Linked DNA regions of Mytilus edulis. The protein of the gene in region 1 interacts with the protein of each later gene in a pairwise test. Links are inferred from orthologs where the notes say so. Each region holds a gene or a part of one and is shown in the gene's direction. Other genes may lie near its edges. The genes, in order: BRCA1-associated protein-like and high mobility group protein 20A-like.

Region 1 (9,266 bases):
AACAAGCAATCTCCTGATTTTATGATTCATTTAAAATATCATACTCGATTGAATTGAAGAAACGTTTCCAAATTTCATTTATAAACAATCTGCATTTCTTGTAAACTTCACTTAAAGATGGTAACCATGTATATACTTTATAAGAAATTATGCTATCTGAAACCTTTAAAATTTTAAAGGACATGCAATGTCATAAAGCAAATAACAAACTAGTGACAGACTGAGTACCACTTTATGATTTAGTACAAATGTATCGACATTATTGAGAAAAATAAATTCAACAATATTCAGCTTTATTTACATGTATCCCTTAAAATCATGATCTTGTCATGAATTTAAAGAACTTTGTCTTCTTATCAAAAGTTTGTCATACTATGTAGTGGGTTACTGCATGTGATCTAGAGTGCTGTCATTTGGGACATTTCAATTAGCGGTAGATTTGAATAACCTTATACTACAGTTACAACATAAGACATCATTAAATATGTTCAACAGATATTTTTCTTGGTTGAATAAAAATAATTTAACAGAACAAAAGAAACGTATTAACATACTTCAAACGGCTAGATAATGAGTCATTCCCAAGAAACAATTTTTAAGCTAAAAAATGTGTTTCCATTTCTGTGTAAAACTATTTACTTAATACAATTTGAATGACTCACAAAGATCTGTGTTCTCATTTCATTTTAGGGACTAAAAGTGATACATCTAAAAACAATTTACAGCAGTTGTCATTTGTTTATGTAATTTATACGTTTCTCGTTTGTTTTATTTTATATAGATTAGACCGTTGGTTTTCCCATTTGAATGGTTTTACACTAGTAATTTTGGGGCCCTTTATAGCTTGTTGTTAGGTGTGAGCCAAGGCTCCATGTTGAAGGCCGTACATTGACCTGTAATGGTTTACTTTTTTTAAATTGTCATTTGGATGGAGAGTTGTCTCATTGGCACTCACACCACATCTTCCTATATCTATATAGGACTTTATTTCAATACCTCCATTTTAGTAATTTTCCTGGCCAGTTTTTCATTGTGATGTATCTTTAATGCTTCCTTGTTTAAGTCTAAAGCCTCTTTGATGTTACCCTGCTCCACCATGTTCCTAGCACCAGATATCATCTGATTGTAGATCTCTTCGTCCTCTTCAGACAGGTTCTCACCAGGAGTGTCTGTAGAACTTGACCTTGACCTGTCTCCTTTAATATAAGTAAAAATGTCAATCAGAGTCATACCAAAACTAGTTTTAATAATGTCTGGTGTATATTGTATGTCATAGTTGTAAATATTTGCATTCCCAATAAATATTAATTTAAATACACCATTTCAGAAACCCCATATGAACCGCATTATATGTACTTCTACACTTATTTCCTATCATTAAATTGTTCTGTAGACGCCATTCTAAGTGGTGAAACATGTAGACCATAATAAAGCATTTCCTTGCAGTAATTCAGGATTTTTTTGTCTTTTTAAAGTAATAAATACACCATTGTTTGATAAAAAAAATAATAAGTGTTGTGAATCTTTTTAGTTTTAATTGTGCAAAATTCATTTCTTTTATTTTGTTGTAAAAAATTAACCATCTCCATAAAACCACACACATTTAAGTGCATGCTACAACAATCCAATGCACTAATAACTTTATCATTTAGTTATATTTATAAGTAATCTAACATATATATGAAAAGTAATATATTGTTTTCATTTTTAAAAGCTCATGATTGTTCTTTAAACTCATATACAGATTGTAATTATAATAACTGGGGGCAAGTGATAGACTTTTCTAGAACCAAAAACTTTATTTTAAAGGTCAAGGTGCAGATAAGAAGAGGGTTAAATCACTATAGTTACCTGTATCTCCATCTTCACCTGTTTCTTTAAGGTAGGCCTGGAAAAACATCAAAATGTTATTCAATTAAATCTTTAAATATTATAAAATATTTTTATACAATGTAAGATGATTTCTGACCAACAAAATACCAGGTAAATAAGCTTAAGTCTAGTCAACATTAAATGTAACACAAGTATTAATGTTATCATCTTCAGAAATGCTTTCAGAGCTGATCGATTCTATTCCAAGAGACAAAAATAACATCAAGGGAAAATAAGAAACATATCAAGAGATTTAAACAGCAAAATAATTCACTATTTTCAATAGGTTTATAAAGGAATGTAACTGGATTTACTGACAGCTTCAAAATACTTCTTAGTAAACACAGAGTCTGTCCAACACATACCTCCATCTTTGCGATCTTTTTGGCTAGTTTTTCATGGTAGTGCATCTGAAGTGCCTGTCTGTATAAATCTAAGGCCTCCTTTATTTTCCTTTCTGCTGTTAATTGTTTAGCATTTGTGATCAACTCTGTAAATATTTCCTGTTCTTCTTGACTCATTTCTGGAAAATGAAAAAAAAAGCTTATCCCTTATTCCCATGATTTTCACAGATATAGAGTTGTGCTTTTTTTTAAATTCTTTTTGTAAATGTACATTCTTTTAAGCACCTCTTGTTATACAACTTAAATTTGTAAAGTGGAGAGTTGAGTCAATAAAAAGAAAGTTTAACAATGTCACTTACTGACTTAGTAATGTGCCTTCATCAGTCATTAGTCAGGAATTCTTTTTGTTTATTGCCCTTCCAGAAATTTTGTATTATACACCTTTGAACGTCTCTATTAAATGTGTTCAGAATCTGCCAAGACTGAGGTAATTTAAAGCTTGACATAATTTGGTATTATAGGTATATAAACTGTTGAGAGAATATTTGGGAAATAGTACATAAAATATTAATTGTTGTTTCATTATTAGTATTTGAACACAGACATGCTATTATGTGTTATTGGGAAAAATTATAGAATGTATTGCTTTCCATTAAAAAAAATCTATTTGTTTTCTAATTTCTGAGAGAACAGTTTGAAAGTATTGAATGCTAATTTTGAAAATACTTGATGCCAGATTGTGGAAAACAAAGATTAAACAATTTAAATCCTGACATGGCTAACATAGACAGATATATGATACACATAATACATGTTAAACTACCTTTAGTATCCTGTGATATTGTTACTTTTGATAAACCATCCCCTGTTTCTTGTACTTCCTGGTCCATTATTCTAAAATATCAAAAATTCATATTTAATGTTGAGCCATTTGTTTTGAGGACATGTGGTATAATGAATAAAGGTTATTATAGTCATAAAAATTTATTTTTTCAGAAAAAATACAGGCATACGACAGGTTTTGAACACCAGCTATTTTCATATAGGTTAATCAAGTAAAAGTAAACTTATACTCTGCCAATCTCTGGTAAGGTTTTAACAGTAACTGTGAAGTAGATAACTTGAACACAATTAATATACACTCCTTTGACTTTGTAATAAATTTCACATTCATTTGTAAATTGTAGTCAAATTTAATGACGCTTTTTCTGGCATATTTTCTGGCATACAAATGTATATATCTAGATAATAAAACCTTATTACCATAGCTCCACTGGAAATAATCTTAGATGCATGATTTTTTTATTATTTGGGTAGTTCTTATACTACCCTATTATCACGACAAAGATTGAAGTCCAAATAATTATGAAGTCATATTAATGTGTCACTGAAAAAATTTAAGTAGCCTTTGAAAACATCATAATTATCAGTCAAGGGTTTAACTTAAATAAGTTATCAGAGAAAAATAACATGCATGTGTTATTACAGACACTTTCATGAGTTGTCTACTCTTTTTTCTGTTATCTGTAATAACATATTTTTATTATTCGTTAAATAAATCATAAATATTTAATGTGTAATGAGCACTTGGGAATTCTTAAAACTTTGCGCAGTAGCTTAATATATTACCTTGATAACTAATTTTATAATTCCATTAAAACAATTTTGATCAACCATGTTAAACCAATGAGACAAGGCTTTTAAGGACAAACTAAGCTGTAATAAAATTGTTGAAGGCCGTACAGTGACCTATAGTTGTTAATGTCCGCATCATTTTGGTCACTTGTGGACAGTTGTCTCATTGGCAATCATACCACATTTTCTTTTTTTGTATTAGTTATTACAAGCATGTAACTTACTATATGAGAGTAAATGAGACACTTGGAATCTGGTGCAGTGCCTCATTACAAGCTCTGATCATCATTTCTTACAATGAATTGAAATACATTGTTATGCAAGTTAGAGCAAAGCCTTTAAAGAGATATAGAAGAATATATTTTCTGTAATAACATAGGTGTACTATGCATGATTGGTAAACTATGAGCTGTTATATCTTTGCAAAGATAAGTACACTTAAAGAAAATTATAATATCAATAGAACTACAGAAAAATTTAACAAAATAAAGGTTGTATATTTTCCCTTTGAAACATGTAACATACATGTTATCACAGTTTTTTGATATTTTAGCCGACAATAACAACATGTATGTTATTTTTCTCTAATAACTTATTTAAGTTAGACCCTTGACTGATTATGTAACCGGAGAGCATGAATTTCATTACAAATTGTTTGTCTCCATTGGGACTCAATCCCAGGACTTAGAACTGTGTTACAAGACAGCATGTTAACCGACAGAGCTAAAGAAAAACTTCCTTTAGCTAAACTGCTTACATCTGACTAAGTATCTACCACATTTGTTAAGGGAAAGCATTTCCCCCATCTCAAAAGACATCATACCATTATGACTTTGACAACACATACCCTAGCTAGAATTCCTTTCTAACCACCATGGGTTTTGTAGTTGGGGACCAATGTAACTTGAATGCATGAATTTCATTACAAAATTGTTTATTTCCTCAAGGACTCAAATCCGGGACCTAGGTGTTACAAGGCAGCTTGTTAACCGACTGAGCGAAAGAAGTACTTCCTTAGCTCAACTGTTTCCGGCTGACTAAGTACATGTAATGATGTATCTACCACATTTTCTAAGGGAAGCAATCCCGTCACAAATACTTAGACAAGTATTCGGAAAGTATAATTTTCATAAATCATTCCATCAAATGTTAAAATACAACTTACAAGCAAGGACCAAAACTCATGAAGTGGGTCTCATTGGGGTCTAAGCGTGATGCAGAATTGCTGATTTTTTGTAAACATCGTAAACGTGAAAGTCAAAATTATTGTGCTATGAAAAGAGGAAATGAAGTCTAGCAGGAAATGGGAAATTACAAATAAATGAGAATTGCTTACGTACATATTGAAGTTGGATACTGGAATCTGACGAAACAGTAAGCGGGAACCGTGATCCGAACCCCCGTGTCTGGCCATCGATGAACTCCCCAATCAATTAAATTTGGAAGGTCTGAAAGTAAGTTGGCTTAAATAGGGCATATATGAACTAATGCTTTTGATATTTTTCATTAGAAATCTGCCATTACGAAGATGTTCTTGCTCATTTACTGATTTAGTAAAAAAATATTTTTTATGTCTCAACTCATTTTTATTTTATTTTATTTTTTTAGACAAATGGGTGAATGACAGCAGTCATAAAGGTGCTTACTCTATAGATTTTGCGTTGAGTGTATATGGATTTAATATGTCTGGTTGATTAAAACAAATTTTAGCAAAAGTATTTGCGCCAGACTGATATTCACATTTTCTGATGTTATTTTTCGTTTTTGAAAGTTCCGCCAACAGGAAGTGACGTATTCTAATCCTTGTTTTGGTCGAAATCAAGTTGATTTATCGTACAAACAAGTTTTGCATGATGGTTATTGCTTTTATATAGACACAAACATTAACAGGCGAATAAAACAAAACACTAGTCCCATATATTATCAAGAATGACCAATAAACTTTACTACAGGAATGTGAGTTAAATATCCGGAAATATATTTTCCGTCATTGTTTTTCTTACAGGTGCTCTCTTTTTTTAAAGTTAAAAAAGTAATATTCTTGGAAAAAAATAAAAATAAGAAGGATTTGTTCTGACAAGGACTTTGATAGTCCTACTAAAAAAATCCCATGATTCTAACATTCAGATTTTAATGAATTTCACATGTCTGAATCAATCTCTTTGTGTATTCTGAGGCTTGAAATAGAAAATGATCACGAAATTCCAAAATCTTTCAGTTACTGTGGTAAGCTAATGTTCATAAAATAACTGAATATTTAAAGAAGTAAAAAAATCTGTCCCACATTTGATATGAAATTGACTGTAGGCTTCCATGTCTTTGTATCCAATATATGTAAAAAAAATTTTAGAAGAAGTGGTATGGTTACCAATGTCTATGGGACAACTCTCCAAAAGAGACCAAATGACAGAAATTAACAACTATAGGTCACCATACGGCCTTCAACAATGATCAAAGCCCAAACCACAGAGTCGGCTATGAAGGGCCTGAAATGACAATGTAAAACAATCCAAATAGGGAAAAACTTAAGGGCAGATTTTATGTACAGAAAATGAATGAAAAAACAAATATGTACATGTAACACATACACAAATGACAACCACTGAATTACAGGCTCCTGACTTGAGACAGGCACATACATGTCGCGAGGTTAAACATGTAAGCGGGATCCCAAAACTTCCTCTAACCTGGGACAGTGGGACATGTATACCAGTACAATATAAGAACGAACTGAAAAAAATCAGTTGAAAAATGCTTAACTCATCAAATAGATCAAAATACAAATCAGTTCCAAATTCCAGCAATACTACTTCTATTTGTCTGCATTACTGGACATCACAAAGGTTCCTGTAAAATTCTTAAATCTTAAACGAAAATGGCTGACATCACAAAGGAAAAGTGATTGTTTTATGAAGTCATTAGTTCTTCAAGTGCTGCAGATTCTCAACTAGTAAAATAATGATCTATTGCTAAAATGTATCTTTTACAGACCTGCCAACTATCCCAATTGTCATGCTTTAATCCTTACCCTGATAACGGGATTGTAAAACAAGTCAAAATCTTGAGTTTTACAGGATCTTCACAAAATTTAAAAATTTGTTGGTAACTGATTTTGAAGTATCTGACCAATCTATAAGTTTATTTATGACAAGTTAATCAATAGTAAAAGGTTGAAGACCTGGATCTTTCATACTTTGCATATACATGTAAATTGTTGTCAGTTTCCCTATCAAATGTCTGTTTTTTTCTCCAGGCAACTTAAAAGTGGTGTTTAACACACCAACAATCAATCATTTTCATTGTTCATTATTCAATGTTAAGTTTTCCTGGTTAAGTTCGTTTCTAAGAAAAAATAAACAATAGGTCAACTTATTTGGGAAAATGTTTGGTGTATGGAATGATTGTAAGGCTATATTGTTGCTGGAGCAATGATGATTTAAGTTACCAAAGAATTTTGAAAATTGTTAAATCTTGTAGGCTAATACACCTTATCGCTAATCCTGGCTGGCCCGGCCACTTGAAGTTTTGACGTCAACAACAGTCACTTTTCCATTATGGCGTCAGATCTTTTGTTTTATGACGTCAACATTTTACGGGAACCTGTGCGTGTCCAGCAATGGCGGACAAATAGCGATAAGGTGTTTACAACTTACTTTATAGCAAAGTTAGATCGCTATCAAAATTGGTATAAGGGAGACAACTTGTAATTTACAAGGCTATATATATCGGGATTGGGTGTTTTTAAGCTCCTGATTTTGGGATTGATCCTTACGTGATCCGGGGATATATTTTTCGAATTCGGGATATGAAGTTTCTTTAAATTCTGCATCTCGGGATTTCATGGTTTTAAGCCCGGTATTTCGGGATTAGGACAACTCCGACCACCCCTCAAATTAGCCTTATAGTCGGTCTTGGTCATTTATACAAGATTCATATCCTACCATTGACAGGTTAATAAGGCTCTCAAAAGAAAAAGCACTGATGGATTGTCCTAGAAGCATATTTTATTAGACTAATAATGGTCTATATATAAACAGTTACATTTATTTCATGTTTGAAACGGTGCAAATTTTTAATTTGATTTGACTTTTACCAAAAGAAGCATTGTAGCAAAGGAGAAGAATAATTGTGGTCTGAGGCCAGAAACACGAAATAATTGAATTTAACAGAAAGGAAACAAATATCGGACTTTGGAAAAAGGGAGAGAGCTTTTCATACCTTTTATGAAATTCTCCATACATAATATCTTTGACAAAAAATTATCCTACAATAGTTCACAAGCTGTATATGCCCGCGATTTCGCGGGTGTGCTCTAGTATATATAAACAGATGTCTAGTTTTGATGGACTTCTGCTGGCAGATTACAATACAGATCTCCATGTCTTACAACCTATAGAAACAGAATATGATTTTGTATTTAAGCACATGATATCCACATCTTGTAGATTAAGAATCTGATGTTTGTATTTCAGCATCAGATCTCCATAGTGCTAATATAAAATCTAGGGATACAGCATCATATGCTTCAGTTGTAAAAACATCAGGACCAAGTTCTAGTGAAGAAAAGTCGCCTGTAGAGTTGAACCTCACTTGTAGAGGACAGCGTGGGTTTGGTGACTTCACAATAGAATCTTATTTCTCAGGTAAATTGTATAAAACAAATACTTGCATAGTTGTCATGGTTGTAGGCGAAATTGACTGTTCTGAGAAGTCACATTGGATGGTATTTTATCTGATACCATGGATACTTGTAAATCAAAAATTTTCAAATGTATTTTATCATGTTTATTGCAGTTAATAGTGTTTCATTTAGTAACCATAAGTGAAGTTTTTTTTTTATGATATTTATTAGTACGGTAGTTATAAATTTGTGTCTCAAATAATGCAACAAATGGATGTAACCCATTTTTACACAACAACAAATGAATGTAACCTGTTTTTACAAAACAACAAATGAATGTAACCCATTTTTACACAACAAATGAATGTAACTCATTTTTACACAACAACAAATGAATGTAAACCATTTTAACACAACAACAAATGAATGTAACCTGTTTTTACACAACAACAAATGAATGCAACCCATTTTTACACAACAAATGAATGTAACTCATTTTTACACAACAACAAATGAATGTAAACCATTTTAACACAACAACAAATGAATGTAACCCATTTTTACACAACAACAAATTAGGAAGGTTGTATTATGTTTATGGTGTGTTGTTTGTTGTTATCTTCAATATGGAACTTTATCTGCCCTTTTTCACAAAGCCTTTCAAAAAAGTTGACAATTGGTATTGATGTTTAGGACTGTACGTGGCTTTAACTGTTTCTTAGAAAAGGGGCAAAAGGAGTTTTAAGAGTTTTCACTCTATATACATGTATACAAACATGTATATTTATCCTTAA
Region 2 (8,986 bases), on another chromosome or scaffold:
TACTAGAACAATGTTACACTTTGGAAAAAAATACCCATTATAGATGTACACTAGTACCTTATCTCATGAATTTCATTACCTCAGATTATAATAAGAGATATATAATCTAACTTTCCCTAATCAATATTGAAGAAAAGTTTCTTACACATGCATTAAAAATCCTTTTCTTTTTTGTGGACAATATCTCAAATAATGTAACAGGTAACAAACAAGTCACTGTGTTTGGTAGGACAATTTTACATGTGTATCACCTGATTTCTAAGGTGAATTTGCATGGAATACATGCATGCGCCGGAATGTCTTTAGTCAGGAGCCTCTGGCCTTTGTTAGTCTTGTATTATTTTTAATTTTAGTTTCTTATGTACAATTTGGAGTTTAGTAAGGCAAGCATTATCACTTAACTAGTATATATATTTGTTTAGGGGCCAGCTGAAGGACACCTCAGAGTGCTGGATTTTTTCGCTGCATTGAAGACCTGTTGGTGACCTTCTGTTGTTGTCTGCTCTATGGTCATGTTGTTGTCTCTTTGACACAATCCACATTTCCATTCTCAATTTTATTGATGGAAGAAAGTTTTTTTTTGATTAATTGATAAATAACCTTTTTATTTTCTGAACATTGCAAGACTTACAAGAAATAAAAAATAATTTTTCACATCATTGATTTTCTTTAAAATAAAAATTTAGTTGATCATGTTTAAGGATAATTGATTCATGTGTATTTTCATCTCTGAAGTTTGATAATCAAATCCTCAACCTCCATTAAAGTCAACCACTGTACATGATATTGTAAAGATTTTTTCAATTTACGTCCAATATTTCCTCCATGTGTACACTTTGTGCTAAATATGTAATAAAAAACCTTGTAAACTTAAGAGTAATGTATTGAGATATTGATACTCTTTATTGGTAGAATTATCAGAACTTATACCTGTGTAAAGATATTTTTACTAGCAGAGTTTATTTAAATATTTTTTTAAATTGTATCAATTTGAAATACTGCAATTTGTATGATTTTGGGAAAGGGGTGCACAAGAAGGAAGGATGGGTTTGTATTCAAATTCTAAAAAAAAATCATTACTTTTTTAAAAGGTATAATAAAGTTCTGATGTTGTCTTTATTATTCCCCTGCTTAGAGAAGCATGATTTAGTGATGTTTTTTTCAGTTGTTTCATTCATTTGCTTGTATGATCATTCATGGATGTGCTCATTACAAATTGTCTGCCATTTTAAGAAGACTCATCTTTAAGGAATGACTGGGTTCCTATTAATCCAGCAAGTATCTTATATTTTATTCATCCAATTGTCTTCCTGTATTTAAAAGATACTTTATAAAATTATATGTCTATTAATTTCAATTAGTTTATTCCTATCTGAAACTGTTTCTGACAAAAAAGAAAACATGATATAAGTATGTTGACCACACATCTTTGTTCTGACTTTCTTGAAATATACACTGTTCTTACCATGCTTAAGTTTTATATTTTGATGGTGAAGTCAAGTTTGCACGAAAAATATATGTCTTTAGATATTTTCTGTCTATAATATTGTTTTATTTATTATAGAATGTGTGTATCTGATAGCCTTATGTCATCAATAAAATTCTGTGTCATGGTTCAATTTGTTATTGGATGTCCGTCCATAAAATACTTATTTATTTTTTAATATGTATAATGATAGAATGTTTAACAAAGAAATTGTTATAGCCCTTGATTGTCTTTTATATTAAACCCCACTCAATTTGCAATCACCTTGTTCCTCTGTTTGACCAGAAAATATGTTTGATATGTCTGTACAATGACTACATAATTATTGGAATTGGTAAACATAACAAACTGTTCAATTTGAAAGACATGTTTTTCCACAGAGCTTTCGATATGCATTATCAAGGCATATCATTGGTTCTTGGCACAGCTGTTTGTTTGGATGTGTTAGACACACCCTTTTTGTTGACCTATATTCAATGTGATAAATGAATTAAAATATTTTGTCATACATTTCTTTGTTGAGCAACAGGCATTTCTCATTTGCTTATTGTATCTGTCAGAAAACTATCTGCTTGTTCTTTTTTGATACTCTGAACTACAATAGGAGTATAGCTAGCACAACAAGATTTGCAACCTTTTGTTTATTTTTTTTAGTTTAATGTTTGTACTTGAAATCTGTTACATTTGTGACAGAGTGACTGCCCATGATTATATGTATTTCTTAACTTAGGTTATATATATGATGTTTTATATTTATATATATTTGTATATTTTGATTACTGCTGAACAACATACTGCTGAATAATCTTAATATGACCTTGGTTAACTCGAGGGCTAAAAGTTATCCATGTGTATTTAAATTTACAAAACAAAGAGCAAGGGGATCATATCAAAATGCTTTAAATGAAATATACTATGTTTTCCTCAAAAAGTGAAAATCTATATGCATTGATTTTATAATTTTCATTATCACTATTTTGGGAGTATGGTATTCAGGCTTGCTTTGATGTCTTTTTAGATGTGTTTTGCAGAGTTACAGGTCTTTTATTGTCAAGAAATTAGAAAATATTTTATTTTCGTTAATACCAGCTTTCTTAAATTAAAAAAAAAAATGGAATCGTCCTGGATACAGGATTATGTTGTTTTCTAAAATTCTCGTTAATGTCAATCTCAAAATCCATATAACTGTTAGTACCACAGATATGATTTTATGCTATTAATTTAACATTTTGTGTATTGTAATTGTGAACTTCAGTTGTAGTGCTTTAAACAAATGTGTATTAATCTTTCTGTTTTTGTGCCAATAATACTTATCAAACATGTTAAAAACATTCTCTTATAATTCAACTTGTAGAAAATTGGTTAAACCTTAAATATGTTGTCTGACCCGAAGTGATATTATATTGTAAACAATATTACTGAAAGACTAATAAATGTGATATTTTATTTCTATAATATTTATTTGATTTATTGCTTTAAATGATTAAAGAATTATTTTAATGAATTATTTACAATAAATGATATTTTAAGATAAATTTGACTTTGTTTAAATCAATTTGTATAACAGCTACAAAAGTAAAGATGAAATAAGCTCACAGTATAATTGCAAAGATGAAAAGAAACCAATTAAAAAAGATCAGTTAAAGAAGAAACATTACTACACGGACAATACCATAGCCAGTAGAAAAAAGACAAAAACACTAGAGTGGGGGGCCCATATTCGCCGGGGACACAATTTCACCGTTTTATGATTTTGAGGTGTTAACACTTCACATGATGGCTGAAATGGAAGAATTATGCCGATAAATTATAATTTTATAACAAATATGATTATTTTTTAAACTTAAACAAAATTACAACACTTACTGCAAAAGATAGAAAAACAGACAACGATTTTCGGTCAATTTCCTGAATGAAAAACAGGATTTTCAAAGATTTTTTTCTTAGCATTTTTTTGACTGATTGGCCTAAATTTCTGTTTTTTTACACCTTTGAAATGTCTGCTGTTCATCTATAATGAAATTTATATGATGAATATTATATAAAGCTGCAGTTTTTTGGTTTTAAATAGATGTGTAAAAACGGCGAATATGTGTCCCCCATTGACAAAACTTCAGGAAATTTCAAACACCTTTTAATCTAACTTTACAGATGATTATTTTCAAACAAACATGTTTTCAAGCTTAGGAATGTTTTGCATTTGAAGTTATCTTCATATAGAAATATCAGTATACTTCAAAAACATATAGACCTGAACATAAACTGTAGAAAACATCGAAAGATATGGCGAAAATGAGCACCCCACTCTATCATAAACAAAACTTTACACAGAAACATAAATAACATTATAGGCAGTAAAAGCTAGACAAATACACAGTCAGCCATAAGAATTCATTACAACAAATTGCTTTTGGTATTCATAAAGGTTTTAAAGACATTACTTCACCATTATCTTTAAAACATCTTTTACATTTCTCTATACGCATTAACTCTTTATCAACAAATGTCACTTTCACTATATACAATAACCTTACATCAATTATAAAGCTATTAAGTTCATAAATTGTCCTTAATTTTTTTTTAAGCTTAATACATATTTTCTTATGACAAAGACTGTAAAGAGGCTGTTGTTGATCATTAATTTTGTCTGGTGTTGCTGATAAACAACTTGCCAATTTGTAGTTTGAAGCAAAATAAAAATATTATGTAGTCTTTCAAAAGTAAATTTTTGTCTTGGCATTTGAAAAAGATCCTGTGTTCCTGTTTATGATGTTGCTGTCCTTTGAGCCTGCCTTCATTATCTAATTACTAATGATTAAGAGCATGGCATAGCGTAACGACACCAGTCTATTGAAAATAGGAAGGTAGCTAGGGGGATTTAAGAGGGCAGGTGGCCTGGCCCCCTTATGGAGGTTCATGATTATATAATAAATGTATAAACCTTTTCAAAATTATCACTCCATACATTGGCTTTGTAAGCCTGCTCTTCCTTTTTCAAAATCCAAAATCCACCCCTGGTAGCAAACATTTGAATTTTCTGTAAGCAAATATTTCAATTTTTATGAGATGTTTAAAAACTTTATTCATTAAAATTTACTGGACTAATACATAACAGTATATTTGGGTGAAATGCACTAATTTTTCAAAGAATATTGGATCGACACATTAAAAGGGCATTGGCTGTCAATTTCAAGTTCACGAATTTGACTGAAAATCTCATATTCTTTTTAACATTCTTAAACATATATCCAATTTATGAAAAGTCTAAAATAAACAATTTACAAGGCATGGGCTCAATAATATGTACCATAGTTTTGTTTGTATTTTAGTCTAGAGGCCATCTAACTATTGAAGACCTTTGAAGACATATAAGCAATATAAACATATATTTAGATATAAATAGAAAGTGAACTCGTCACAATTGGATTTTTGTATGTCTGTTTAATTTCACATTGAAGTTTAAGAAAATGTGTTAATCATAATTTTTACCTGTATAAAAATGAGTTTTGGGGGATGGAATCAGTCAAACAAATAGTTTACCTTAGTTTCACTTTCAATGTTGACATTCTTTTCCTTTTTATAACTAACATGCATAATTCATAGTGATCCATCTCTTTCTATGGTGTTAATTGATGGTCACACAAATCTGAGACTTCTATAACACATAGTAGTCTCAGCATGAATACAAATACAATGAGCTCGAATTTTTCACTTGCAAGTGAATAACTCATCATGATGTTTCTTAGTTTATTTTTACCAAATTGAACCATACTGAGTGATAAAGGCAAATTATTATTTCAAAATTTCACATTGACATAAGTTGGGGGATTTTTTTTTTTATATATGTATACATCTTGCAGCATCTTACTTAAATGCTATCAACTAAATTACCATTTTCAATGCCTCTCATTTGGGGGCGTCATCCTGGACCACTGAAATTCACTTTAGCATCTCTTATATGAAAAAATGTTTTAAAGAAATCATATAATAAAGGAAAAGGGAGATAACATTTTTTTCTAGGCCATTCTTGTGCGTTGCATTTTATAAATTTAAATTGTCATTGGTTGTACCTTTTTCGGGTTGTCTCGGGGTTTACCATAAAATTTTATTCAGAAAGCATTTTGGCCATTGTTTATTTTGTTCCCGTACTTTATTTTTGAACGTAATTTTCTTTATTATAAAAAGGTATGTACTGTTAGAATTTGATATGACATGCATATTTGCGTTGCTCTGAACATGAATGTATGTAACGTGACGGTACCCAAATTGCACCTATTTTGACAGTTTTTTCATCTACGTTTTTTTATGATAAAGACAACAATGTCTATTCTGTGTTTATTTTGTAGCCGTATCCTTCTTTATCAAAAAGGTACACCAATTTGATTTTTATTCCATATGGAAGCATAGAAAAACTGGTCTAAACTGACCTCCAAACCAGCAATGATTCTGAAATGAGGAGTACCCAAATTGCATCCATGCTTTAATTCACATCGTCAAAAGTCTAATAACAGAGCTTTTGTTTAATTTCTTCAAATATTTCGAACAATTGGATATTAGTACCTGCTTAATCTTCATTTTTTTTTAAATGGATACTTGTAACATATTGTATTTGCTCATTTTAAAAAGATGACGTCGCAGTACATTTTGCTTTTTCAGTAAACACTTTATCTGTTGATAAATACTGTGAACGTTTTGGGCATATCTTAAAAGTTTTACCCTTGCTGAAAGATGTGCTTAGTATCAAATCATAAAAATACAAATTGTTTAGTCTCTATGAAATCTTGTAAGATTTCCGCTGCTATTTTTGCTAAATAGGTGCAATTTGGGTACTCGGTGCAATTTGGGTACCGTTACGTTAGGGTTTTACCCTCCTTTTATAATGAACACCACTTACTTGCTGTAAAGAAAAATATTAAACCAAAAAGTAAACCTGTTACCAAACAAAAGTGTCAAAACAAAAAACCACGATGGCCATGTGGTACATGCCTAAAAGCAGTAACCTGGAATCAAAAGGCACTATGCTGCGACAGCTGCGATACTTGGTTTCACATTAACTGTCAGAGTATTCCATCTCACATCTACGAGTGTATGAATGCTAGTAATATTAGCTGGGAATGCACAAATTGTGGAATGCCAAATTTCTCCACTAGCTTATTCAATAACCAATCAAGCATATCATTAAATTCTAGTAGTAACTGGAGTATGAGTGATACATCACTCAATAACAGCCTAGGTGCTCCTCAGGCATCTTCATCGCCTATGGTTAAGACTAAATCAAAACCGAAAGTCAAAACATCACAAAAAGCCACTACTAAAAATCAAAAACCTATCAGGATACTTAACCTAAACTTTCAATCGATACGAAATAAAAAAGAAGATCTCAATCAGTTAATTGATTCATCTAAACCTGATATAATCATAGGCACTGAAACATGGCTAGACAAAAATATATCATCATATGAATTCTTTCCATCAGAACTATTTAATGTCTATAGATCAGACAGACCACCAAAAAAAAATAACCAAAGTCATGGAGGTGTACTTATTGCTATTAATAAAGAACTTATAAGCACAGAAGTAAGCGAACTTAAAACTGACTGTGAAATAGTTTGGTCTCAAATAAACATGACTGGTAGTAAGAACTTGTTAATAGGTGCATATTACAGACCACCATCAGATAAAGGAACATCTTTACAACAACTAGAACTATCACTTAGTAGAATCAACCAATCATCAAATACTAATATCATGATTGGTGGTGACTTTAACCTAGGTCATATTGACTGGTCTATACCTCAGGTCATACCGGGTAAACCGGACGCTGAACATCATAATAAACTTTTAGAATTACTAGAAAATTTTAACCTTCAACGAATAGTTAATACACCAACTAGAAAAGAAAGAATATTAGACTTAATCCTAGTTAACAATCCAACAACTGTTAACAAAGTAAACACACTTCCACCACTAGGACTAAGTGACCATGACATCGTCTACATAGAAATTGACACTTGGCTTCGTAAAATCAGACAACAACCTAGAAAAATACTCAAATACGACAAAGCGAACTGGGAAAACATAGAAGCAGACCTTCAAAAAACACTCGAAGAGCTTACTGTTATGAATAACAACAACAACAGTACTATAAACGAAATGTGGGATTTATTTAAAAACAACATCACAAAATCAATAGATACAAACATCCCACATAAAATGTTAACATATAAACACCGACTTCCCTGGGTGCACAACACACTCAGAAAAATGATAAATAAAAAGAATAAATTGTACTCTAAAATGAAAAAGGACAAAAAGCATATACTTAAATATAAAAAACTTAAACAACAAGTCCAACAAGAACAGAGACGTGCCTATTGTACATACATAGAAAAAATGATCCTTGACCTTCCAACAAATGACCCTGACCAAAGTTACAGCAACCAATCAAAACCGAAAAAACTCTTTTCTTACATTAAATCCATCAGAACTGACAATAGTGGAGTTGCTCCCCTGAAAAAAGAGGGACAATTAACAACTGATACAAAACAAAAAGCCAACATTTTAAATGAGCAATTCCAATCAGTCTTTACCACCGAAACAGCAAGTAATATGCCTGATAAAGGACCAAGTCCTCATCCAGTCATTCCATCACTCACAATTACAACACCTGGCATACAAAAACTCTTAAACAACATCAATCCGCACAAAGCCACTGGCCCAGATAACATCAGCGGCAGAGTTCTAAAACAACTTCAAAACATAACGGCACCTATCCTCACCATTATTTTCCAGAAATCGCTTACATCTGGCTGTATACCATCTGACTGGAAACATGCAAATGTCGCACCAGCATACAAAAAAGGTGAAAAATACAACGCAGTTAACTACAGACCAATCTCTCTCACTTGTATCAGTTGCAAACTAATGGAACATGTCATAACAAAACATTTAATTAATCACTTAGAAAAAAACAATTTATTATACGACCTCCAGCACGGCTTCAGACACTCTAGATCATGTGAAACACAACTTCTATCTTTTATACAAGAACTGGCTTCAAATTCAGACAATAACACCCAAACAGACCTTGTAATTATGGACTTTGCCAAAGCCTTTGACAAAGTCCCACATCAAAGACTCTTATACAAACTACACTTCTATGGAATACAAAATGAAACACTTAACTGGATCTCTGCCTTTTTATCAAACCGCACACACACAGTTGTCCTGGATGGAGAGTCATCAGACGTTGCTCCAGTTACTTCTGGTGTCCCACAGGGAACAGTTCTGGGTCCAGTTCTATTCCTGGTTTACATAAACGACCTACCAGAATATTTGAAAACCAGTAAACTCAGACTGTTCGCCGACGACAGCATCATTTACAAAAGCATCAAATCTAAAGAAGATTGTGATAGTCTTCAGGAAGATCTTGATGCTGCTGCAAAGTGGGAAGAAGACTGGCTGATGGCTTTCCATCCAGACAAATGTACAGTTCTCACA

The links.
Region 2: the proteins of BRCA1-associated protein-like (region 1) and high mobility group protein 20A-like interact in a two-hybrid assay, tested with the Homo sapiens proteins (2 studies listed by BioGRID and IntAct). The link is inferred for Mytilus edulis from reciprocal best matches to the Homo sapiens genes BRAP and HMG20A.

Annotation. Positions count from the first base shown.
Region 1 is NC_092349.1:84,998,774-85,008,039, forward strand, and holds the start of BRCA1-associated protein-like, read left to right. Parts: upstream 1-5,854; 5' UTR 5,855-5,995; coding exon 5,996-6,077; intron 6,078-8,323; coding exon 8,324-8,494; intron 8,495-9,266. Other genes in the region: DNA excision repair protein ERCC-6-like, read right to left, coding at 997-1,196, 1,852-1,888, 2,238-2,395, 3,040-3,106. UniProt on the Homo sapiens protein: Negatively regulates MAP kinase activation by limiting the formation of Raf/MEK complexes probably by inactivation of the KSR1 scaffold protein.
Region 2 is NC_092345.1:104,507,304-104,516,289, reverse strand, and holds the start of high mobility group protein 20A-like, read left to right. Parts: upstream 1-5,522; 5' UTR 5,523-5,671; intron 5,672-8,986. UniProt on the Homo sapiens protein: Plays a role in neuronal differentiation as chromatin-associated protein. Acts as inhibitor of HMG20B. Overcomes the repressive effects of the neuronal silencer REST and induces the activation of neuronal-specific genes.